Linked DNA regions of Macaca fascicularis. The main gene of each other region encodes a partner of the protein of the gene in region 2 in a complex. Links are inferred from orthologs where the notes say so. Each region holds a gene or a part of one and is shown on either strand. Other genes may lie near its edges. The genes, in order: PRPF38A, MFAP1 and ZMAT2.

Region 1 (3,655 bases), on a different chromosome or scaffold from region 2:
GGAAAGAATGAGATTGTAAATTTGAAAACCTACTTTGAGGGCCCAATTCTCATAGCAATGTCTTGCTCTGTTGCCCAGGCTGGTCTTAAACCCCTGGGCTCAAGGGATCTTCCCACCTCAGTCTCCCAAGGAGCTGGGACCACAGGGACATGCCACTACATTTAGCCATTTGGCATTTTTAAAATCAGCTTTGCCTCTCTGATCTTTAGCCACTCAAATAAACATTGGTAAGCCATATCCCAGATTAAAATGGAGCCAGTTCAAAATGCATGAATCTCAACAGCTCCCGAGATCCTGGGTGTGCTGGAGATTTGGTGCTACTCTAGGGCTAGGCCTCTTCTGGTGGAACTATCAGCCATGAACTTATTAGCCCTTGGATTTTCTCTGTGTACGAAGCCCTTACTTTTGGTTCTAGGCTATACCTATACTGATTGATACTCCCATGACTTTAGAGTGTAAGATACAGGGAATACAGCCAATAGAAAATGAAGATGTTCTCTTCAGGTTTGTATTTATGTTTATAGGAGAACTTTAGTTTATAGATTCCAGGTCTGTTAAACTTATGAAAAGCTTGAACTGTCTTTGAAATGAAATTGTCTCAGCTGTTGCTCCTTGGAATCCTGAAGCCCAGTGTTGAGGTTTCAAGAAATAGGGGAAATGACAACAACCCCTAACTCTCATTATGTTCTCTGTAGAAACGCTATGTATTAGAGGAAGCTGAGCAACTGGAGCCTCGAGTTAGCGCTCTGGAAGAGGACATGGATGATGTGGAGTCCAGTGAAGAGGAAGAAGAGGAGGATGAGAAGGTCAGGCACCTGAGACTTTCAGGGTTGTAGGGGAGGGAGTAATAGAAAATGGGAATTTTTTTTGTTTTTGTACTTTAATTTTTAATTCTGTTGGCCAGGCGTGGTCGCTCACGCCTGTAATCCTAGCACTTTGGGAGGCCAAGGCGGGTGGATCACCAGAGGTCAGGAGTTCAAGACCAGCCTGGCCAACATGGTGGTGAAACCTCATCTCTACTAAAAATACAGAAATTAGCTGGTGTGGTGGCAGGTGCCTGTAATCCCAGCTACCCAGGAGGCTGAGAAGCGGGGGTTGCAGTGAGCCAAGATCGTACCACTGCGCTCCAGCCTGGGCAAAAGTGAGACTCCATCTCAAAAAAAAAATTTTTTTAACTGTAATCAAGAACAATATTCCCTTATTAAAAGCACCTCAGCTCTGCCATATACTAGTGGTATAATCTTACGCAAATTACTTAAATTTAGTTTTCTCCTATGTAAAGTGAGGTTAATGATACGTTTTTCCCCACGTCTGTTGAAAGTATTAAATAAGATTATAAACTTAAAGCCCTTAGCAGAGTATTGGCACATTATAATTGCCTAATAAATGGTGGCAGCTGTTAAATACTTGGAAAGAAATAAAACTTTTCATAATTGCACCTATCCTAAGGAATAAGCCTTGTTTAGGAGGGGGAAAATGTCAACCGCATAGGCATGTTCTTTCAATACTAGTTACAGTGCTGAAAAGTTGAAAACAACCAAGCCTGCCCAGTTGTTTCAGGAAGCAGTCAAACTTTTTTTTTTTTGGAGATAGGGTCTTGCTCTGTTGCCCAGGCTGAAGTGCAGTGGCACAATCTTGGCTCACTGCATCCTCGGCCTCCCAGGCTCAAGCAGTCCTCCCACCTCAGCCTCCCAAGTAGCTGGAACTACAGACGCGTGACAGCACACCTGGCTAATTTGTGTATTTGTTTTGTAGAGATGGGATTTCACCATGTTGCCCAGGCTGCAGATAAACTAAACACACACACATACACACACACCGGTCTGTTTCTGTTCCCTCTCTCTTCTGTGAGTTATTCTGGCTGTCTTACATAGCCCATAATAGGTTTTGTTAGTTAATAGGGTAAGTGCCTCCTTCTTTGTAGTCAGGTTACTGTGCTTTAAAGTCACTTGGAGATGGACTTTGGGACAAGATGGGGTGTGAAGTATAATTAGTGTTCCTAGATGGCTCTTTATAAGCCTGTGCTTTTTAGTGACCCAGTCATCTTGTTTCCAGTTGGAAAGAGTGCCATCACCTGATCACCGCCGGAGAAGCTACCGAGACTTGGACAAGCCCCGTCGCTCTCCCACACTGCGCTACAGAAGGAGTAGAAGCCGGTCTCCCAGAAGGTAAACCCTAGTCATTGGCCTTTTCCCAGGAGATTTTGAGCACTGTAGCCTAGAAGTTTGGATTTTAGAGAAGGAAAAATGCCAGCCTATGGAGAATGTTTGCCCAATATATTCTGTTGCTGCAAAACAGACACCTGTAAAACCTCATTGGCAGAAAACAATAACCATTTGTTTCGTTCACAAGTCTGCAGTCAGTGATTTAAGCAGAGCTTGGATAGGCAGTTTTTTAAGTACCTGTTCTGTTGTCTGCTGTCTACTGGCTGGTATGGAATTGCCTTAGCTTGGATGACAGGGGAAATTTCTCTTCTCTGTGTCATCCTCCAGCAGGCTAAGTTGGGCATTCTCATGGTAGTGGCAGAACTCAAGAGCAAACAAACCCAGTCATGCAAATGTTTTTCCAGTATCTGCTTTTATCATATTTGCAAATATCCCATTAGCCAAAGCAAGTCACGTGGCCAGTCCTAAAGTTAGAATGGGAGGGTGTTAGAGTTACATGACAAAAGACATGGATACAGAGAAGGGTGATACAGAGAAGGGTGAAGGATAAGACTGGGGGTGTTTTTGCAATCTACAATATCCAGTGCACCAACCTAGGCTTTCTTCTTCCTCTCTTTATTATAGGCGGAGTCGATCTCCCAAAAGGAGAAGGTAGGCCTTCAGTTGTTTGTGATGAAGGATAGAGCTTTGGGGAGGGAGTGGTGGTATTGGAGTTGTATGTATATTGCTAACCAGATCTGGCAGTCTAACCAGTCTTTTCTATAGCCCCTCCCCCCGCCGAGAAAGGCATCGGAGCAAGAGTCCAAGACGTCACCGCAGCAGGTCCCGAGATCGGCGGCACAGATCCCGTTCCAAGTCCCCAGGTAGAGCATGTGGGCCTTTTGCCACAGGTTGTCTTAACAAAGAAATGTAAAAGGAGCAGTTAAGCCTCCTGCAGTACAGGAGTGCCTGACTGTACTGCGTAACAGAAAAGGAAATGGACATAGAACTTGAAAATTAAGGTTCACAGCTTGACTGCACTTATAAGCTTTGCTGATAAGGTTGGCTTCAGTTTTTTCATCTGAAATTATAAGATCTAATATAATAGTGAAAACCCAATATGATGTTTGTGAAATTAGCCATAAAGCCCTTGAATGTATATGTGTTTGAACTGGTTTCATTACTCCTTTCTTTGCTCCCTCCTCCTCCACTAATTCAGAGTTGCTTCCACTAAGAGGACAGTGTCCCCTGCATAGGCCAAAAAAATATTAAGCCAATGGCAGGTATTAGGGGAGGTGAGAGTGACAGTTTAATAAGAGAAGGGTAGGATCTCATACAATGGCCTTTTCTTCCCCAGGTCATCACCGTAGTCACAGACACAGGAGCCACTCAAAGTCTCCCGAAAGGTAATGAATTGACCTCTATTTTAACTTTATTCAGAAAGTCCCAATTACAACTAATTGGACCTGAAATTTTCTGGTTTTGTTGGGGGATGTTAGGAATTCTCCTTC
Region 2 (3,655 bases):
AAAAAAGATTCTGCTCTAACATAGTGTAGGTTACTTAAGTGCCACAAATGCTTCCCCTCACAGTATGCATGCCCCTTTTCAAAAAGTATGACTTTGCTGCTTCTCCTATCCAGAGGTGGAGTCTGTTTCTCCACCTGCTTAAAGCTAGGTCGGCCTTGTGACTTGCTTTGACCAATATGTGGCAGGATTGATGTATGAGTTCTGGAACCTAAGTGTCAGAAGACCTTGCCCTCTTAGAATGGTACCGAGACTACTATGTAAGGAAGGCAGTCTAACCCAATGAAGGATAAGTGAGGCATCCTAACTGATAGCCACCACCTACTACTAGACATGTGAGTGAAGCCCTTTTAAGTTTCTAGCCCAGTCAACTGTCTAGCTGGATACAACATAAGTGAGCCCACGTGAAATCAGTAGAGGAACTGTTCAGCCAACCTCCAAAATTGTGAAAAGTAATTGTTTTTTCAAGTCACTCAATTGTGGGTTGGGTTGTACACAGTAAGAGATAACTGCTAACAGTTACTAATTTTTGTGTCTACTAGGAAACTAAAGGGAGCACTGGCTGGCACTCTATTATGGACACACATCGACAAAGTGTGTTTCTCTTCCCTGATTTCACTGTAACAAGTGAAACTCACATTCCAATTATAGGAAACTCACCCAGCAGCAAGAACTCTGAAGATGGCCAGAATGGAACTCACAGTAGGTAATGAGTCTCAGAGCTATCCTACTAGAAACCTGTTCCACTAGCAGCATTAACTCTAGGCTCATCTTTTTACTCACGCTTCTCGATCTTCTCTGTCCCTCTTGATTCTTTTTAGCTCCCGAACTTTCCATGCCTCATATTCCTCCTCGTCATTTTCATCATCAGTATTGAGTGCATCCAGTGCAGCCAAGGATCGCTTGTTCTCTTCCAGCTCTTTCTTGGTTTCCTCTTCGACAATCTGGATAGGGAGAACAATTCGGCTTGGACTTCCTTACTCTCCTCAGACAAACCTGATTACACTATTTTCTTGTACTCAATCCTTGGAACCACTCCCCAGTACCTTTTTTTTTTTTTTTTTTTGAGACGGAGTCTCGCTGTGTCTCCCAGGCTGGAGTGCAGTGGCGTGATCTCGGCTCACTGCAAGCTCCGCCTCCCGGGTTCATGCCATTCTCCCGCCTCAGCCTCCCGAGTAGCTGAGACTACAGGCGCCCGCCACCACGCCCGACTAGTTTTTTTTTTTGTATTTTTAGTAGAGACGGGGTTTCACCGTGTTAGCCAGGATAGTCTCGATCTCCTGACCTCGTGATCCACCCGCCTCAGCCTCCCAAAGTGCTGGGATTACAGGCTTGAGCCACCGCGCCCGGCCAACTCCCCAGTACCTTGAGTGTGTACTTGCGCCTCTCCTCTGCCAGGCGTTTTGCTTCCTGCTCCAGCTCCTTCTGTTTCAATGCTTCAGCTTCACGTTCTTGAACTGTCACTCGGTCCTTCCTGCATCACAGAGGTCCTGTTAATTGCCTAAAGTCCTTAGAGTGGAGTGCTTTGTTCCCCTAGACCTAGTCCCATCCAAATGAGACGAAACCAAACTCTTTGGCTCTATTATTTTCAAAGAGCAAAAAACGTTGAGTCATCCCAGGTCTTTTTTTTTTTTTTTTTGAGATGGAGTCTCACTCTGTCTCCTGTGCAGTGGTGTGATCTCAGCTCACTGCAACCTCTGCCTCCTGGGTTCAAGCAATTCTTTGCCTCAGCCTCCCGAGTAGCTGGGATTACAGGCGCCTGCCACCACACCTGGTTAATTTCTTTGTATTTTTAGTAGAGATGGGGTTTCACCATCTTGGCCAGGCTGGTCTTGAACTCCTGACCTCGTGATCCACCTGCCTCAGCCTCCCAAAGTGCTGGAATTACAGGCATGAGCCACTGTGCCCAGCCATCATCCCAGGTCTTTGGAGCACTAAAATCATGTTCATCTTTGAGAACTGCCTGGACAGCAAAGAACCTGCTGGCCTGTAAGTAGGAGGATTTCTAGCCATCAAGAAAGGAATAGGAATCTGCTTGCTGAGTTTAATTTTGTGTTTAAAAATATATGGCCTTGGCTGGGCGCGGGGGCTCATGCCTGTAATCCCAGCACTTTGGGAGGCTGAGGAGGGCGGATCACCTGAGGTCGGGAGTTCGAGACCAGCCTGACCAACATGGTGAAACCCCCTCTATACTAAAAATACAAAATTAGCCAGACGTTGTGGTGCATGCCTGTAATCCCAGCTACTAGGGAGGCTGAGGCAGGTGAATCGCTTGAAATCGGGAGTTGGAGGTTGTGGTGAGCAGACATGACGCCATTGCACTCCAGCCTGGGCAACAAGAGCAACACTCCGTCTCAGAAAGAAAGAAAGAAAAAAAAAAGGCCTTGGACAGATATATGCTCTATAACTGAAAAAAAGAGATGTGAAAACAAACTCAGGTTCTCTGCTAACACCAAGATACTCCTCAGCAGCTCGTCTGGCAAGGCTACAGCACTAGCAAAAGCACTTTCACTCAGTGCTTAGATTTCAGAATAGCACAACAGAAAACAGACTTTTGTTTCCACGCCTGGAAAGTGGTAATTAAGTGGATTCAGATCTGGCTCGTGAGATACTTACTTTCGAATGAAGACTGGCTTAAGGCGAGGCTCCATCTCATCTTCACTGTCTGTGTACTCTTCATACTCAGACTCTGATTCTGACTCCTCTCCAGAACGTCCCTCATCTTCCACTTCCATGACTTCCATCTCTTCATTTTTTCTCTCCTGTGCTCGCTGACGCATCATGCCACGCCGCCGTTCTATTTCCTGTGAAGTCATATATGTAAGCCGGTCAGTCAAATGGCCTATGGCTTTTTGTTTTAGTCTCATCAAACCCAACAAATTCAAATGTAAAAAAATACAACTTAGTACCATTCTATTTTTAGTTCTATCCCAACAAACAAGGAACATGATCAGAGTCCTGCCAAAAGCAGTGATCTCATGTTTTTAAGGCTTCAACAAATGAGCACAGGCGTCAACTTTTTCTTATATCCAGAAAAAAACTTCCCATGTTCCTTTATCATACCTCATCATCAATCTCCTCTTCCTCTTCTTCACTGCTATCTTCTCGTTCCATGCGCCAAGCATCTCCTTCTACTTCTGAGTCACTCTCTCCTACCACTTCAGGTTCCACTATTTTCCGATGTCGAGCCAATCTGATAAACAGTATCTCCAAATGTAACACCAATGTCATAAAAATGAACTAGCATCAACCGCATTTCCACAGCCACACAGTACATTATGTTTGCCTTCATTAATACTGAAGTCTTTTTTTTTGAGGCAGGGTCTTGCTCTGTCACCCAGGCTGCAGTGCAGTGGTGCGATCTTGGCTCACTGCAACCTCTGCCTCCCAGGCTCAAGTGATCCTCCCACCTCAGCCTCCTGAGTAGCTGGGACTATAGGCATGCCAGCACACATGACTAATTTTTGTATTTTTTGTAGAGACGGGGTTTTACCATGTTGCCCAGGCTGGTCTTCAACTCCTGGACTTAGGCAATCTGCCCGCCTTAGCCTCTCAAAGTGCTGGGATTACAGATGTGAGCCACCATGTCCATCCAATATTAAAGTATTGAGGTGGGGGAAACTGAGGTGCAGATTAAAGGAACTAGACTAGGATGTCA
Region 3 (2,430 bases), on a different chromosome or scaffold from region 2:
ATGCCAGAAATTGCTCTGAGTACTTCATGCATATTATACTAAGATCTCTAATATGGGGATACTGAGGCACAAAGAGGTTATATAACTTGCCCAAGATTCACAGCCAGTAAGTGGAAGAAACAGAATTCTGACCCAGTCAGCCTGATTTCATGGGCCTCCTTAGGACTAGGTACATTTAGTTAATTCCTCTTGTAGTTAAAAAAAAAAAGTATGGAGGAAGCTATGCATGTTGTGGGGGACAGTGGGTATATGGGAAATCTTTATACCTCCCTCTCGATTTTGTTGCAAACCCAAACTGCTCTAAAGAAAGTTAAGTCTTTTTTTTTTTTTTTTTTTTTTTTTTTTTGAGACGGAGTCTCGCTCTGTAGCCCAGGCTAGAGTGCAGTGGCCAGATCTCAGCTCACTGCAAGCTCCACCTCCCGGGTTCACGCCATTCTCCGGCCTCAGCCTCCCGAGTAGCTGGGACCACAGGCGCCCGCCACCTCGCCCGGCTAGTTTTTTTTTTTTGTATTTCTTAGTAGAGACGGGGTTTCACCGTGTTAGCCAGGATGGTCTCGATCTCCTGACCTCGTGATCCACCCGTCTCGGCCTCCCAAAGTGCTGGGATTACAGGCTTGAGCCACCGCACCCGGCCAAAAAAAAAGTTAAGTCTTTTTAAAAAATTAAATCAAAGAATACAGATGAGAGTCCTCAACTTACGATGCTCTGACAAGATTTTTCAGTTTTACAATGGTGCAAAACTGACATGCATTTGAAACTGTACTTCAAGTATCCATATAACCATTGTTTTTCACATTCAGTACAGTATTCAATAAATTAATGAGATGAATACTTTATTATAGAATAGGTTTTGTGTTAGATAATCTGGGTCAATTGTAGGCTAATGTGTTCTGAGCACATTAAGGTAGGCTAGACTAAACTATGGTAGGTTAGGTGTATTACACATTTTTGACTTAAGATATTTTTAACTTGATGATGGGTTTATCGGTAGGTAACCCTGTCAGAAGTTGAGAAATATCTGTATCGCCAAAATAAATAAATAATAAGGCCCACAGAGTCCAGGACAAAAAAGTCGTTTCAGAGCCATTTCCTTCAGATCATGAGAATCCTAAACAAAGGCAACAAATGTTTCCGCTAATATACAGAACTCAGGAGATACAACTCTGGGGCTGGGAGTAGGAGTGGGATGAGGACAGGGTCTCCCATGATTCATAACATAAAACTCAAATCTGGGGCAGAGGGGAAGACTAGGAGAGGCTTACCTCTTCTCTGAGCTCCTTCATCCTTTCCTCAAAATCATAATCCTTCTGTTTCTCTTCCATCTTCTTCTTGTTGACCTCAAAACGTTTCTTCACCTGATCCAGGGTGGAACGTTCCACACGCATAGACATGCCCAGGTTTCTCTGATCTGGATGGGGTCAACAGTGAAGAAGGCAAGCTCATTAAAACATCCTCAGCCCCTCAAAAAGTATTTTCCTGACTTCTCTGACATCTTCTCATATGACATCTCATAAAACACACAGCACAAATAATTACGGTTAAAAGAAACTCCCTTGGTCAGCTGGGCCCAGGAGCAGCACATGGTTTGGGTGCTGTTAAAAGTCTCATGGCCTCCAGAATAAGGCCTCTTACCCATTGCCTCCAGAAATATTACATAATGAAGTAAAAGATGGCCTGTGCTGAAACAACTGGAGAGTTCTAATAGGGGCATCAAAAAAGAGCCCAATAGAAACTACCTTTCTTACTCCAGCCTTCTTTTGATCAGTAAAAAGAAGAGGAAGAAAAAAAAAAAAACCTACCCTTCCATTCCACCCCACCTCCAAAACCCAATTCCAGCCCTAGTCACAAGCTACCTCCAAGCCTTACGTTTCTTTCCATTAATGTGATCCAGAAAGTTGATGGAGTCCTTCACCACACAGTCACAGACATTGCAGTAATATCTAACAGGAAGAAACAGCACTTGAGTCAAATATGGTTTTAAGGATCTTATCATTTTCAACCAAGAAACACAAATTTTTAGGTAAACTTCTTTTTAGAAGTGTTAAGCCTTCATTTCTATAAAGCCTTGGCTCTCGAGAGAGTATAGCAGTCATCCTCAAAGACAGCCTCAGGATGAGCCCCACCCTCTTGGTATTCCTACTCTGTGTAGTCTCTTCCCAATTTGTACTAGAGTTGGTCTGTGTGGCCAACAGAATATGTCAAAAGTAATATCTTCCAAAATTAGGTTATTTTAAAAACCATGCCTTCTGTCTTTGTTTGGGTTACTTGCTCCGGGGAAGCCAGTTGCTCTATTGTGAGCAGTCTTATAGAAAGGTCTATGGGGCAAAGAACTTAGGCTTCCAAACAACAGGCATGTGAGAGAGCTTGGAAGCAGATCCTCCAGCCCCACTTAAGATTCAAATGAATGCAGACCTACCTTGCCAACTCCTT

Evidence for each region.
Region 1: the proteins of MFAP1 (region 2) and PRPF38A are in contact, whole or in part, in a crystal structure (PDB 5F5S), measured with the Homo sapiens proteins. The link is inferred for Macaca fascicularis from reciprocal best matches to the Homo sapiens genes MFAP1 and PRPF38A. Residues at the interface, in NP_005917.2 of Homo sapiens: Glu275, Tyr276, Trp279, Arg282, Glu283, Arg286, Arg289, Asp290, Arg294, Leu297, Glu298, Lys301; in NP_116253.2 of Homo sapiens: Tyr124, Asn125, Tyr127, Lys129, His143, Asp145, Glu146, Asp149, His153, Tyr169, Val170, Glu172.
Region 3: MFAP1 (region 2) and ZMAT2 share a complex: the UniProt entries of both Homo sapiens proteins name them as parts of the spliceosome B complex. The link is inferred for Macaca fascicularis from reciprocal best matches to the Homo sapiens genes MFAP1 and ZMAT2.

Annotation. Positions count from the first base shown.
Region 1 is NC_088375.1:182,313,036-182,316,690, reverse strand, and holds part of PRPF38A (pre-mRNA-splicing factor 38A), read left to right. Parts: intron 1-695; coding exon 696-806; intron 807-2,055; coding exon 2,056-2,168; intron 2,169-2,402; exon of another isoform or gene 2,403-2,524; intron 2,525-2,789; coding exon 2,790-2,816; intron 2,817-2,930; coding exon 2,931-3,028; intron 3,029-3,501; coding exon 3,502-3,550; intron 3,551-3,655. UniProt on the Homo sapiens protein: Involved in pre-mRNA splicing as a component of the spliceosome.
Region 2 is NC_088381.1:20,397,956-20,401,610, forward strand, and holds part of MFAP1 (microfibrillar-associated protein 1), read right to left. Parts: intron 3,191-3,655; coding exon 3,061-3,190; intron 2,802-3,060; coding exon 2,614-2,801; intron 1,472-2,613; coding exon 1,363-1,471; intron 942-1,362; coding exon 781-941; intron 1-780. UniProt on the Homo sapiens protein: Involved in pre-mRNA splicing as a component of the spliceosome.
Region 3 is NC_088380.1:147,179,409-147,181,838, reverse strand, and holds part of ZMAT2 (zinc finger matrin-type protein 2), read right to left. Parts: intron 1,941-2,430; coding exon 1,867-1,940; intron 1,409-1,866; coding exon 1,263-1,408; intron 1-1,262. UniProt on the Homo sapiens protein: Involved in pre-mRNA splicing as a component of the spliceosome.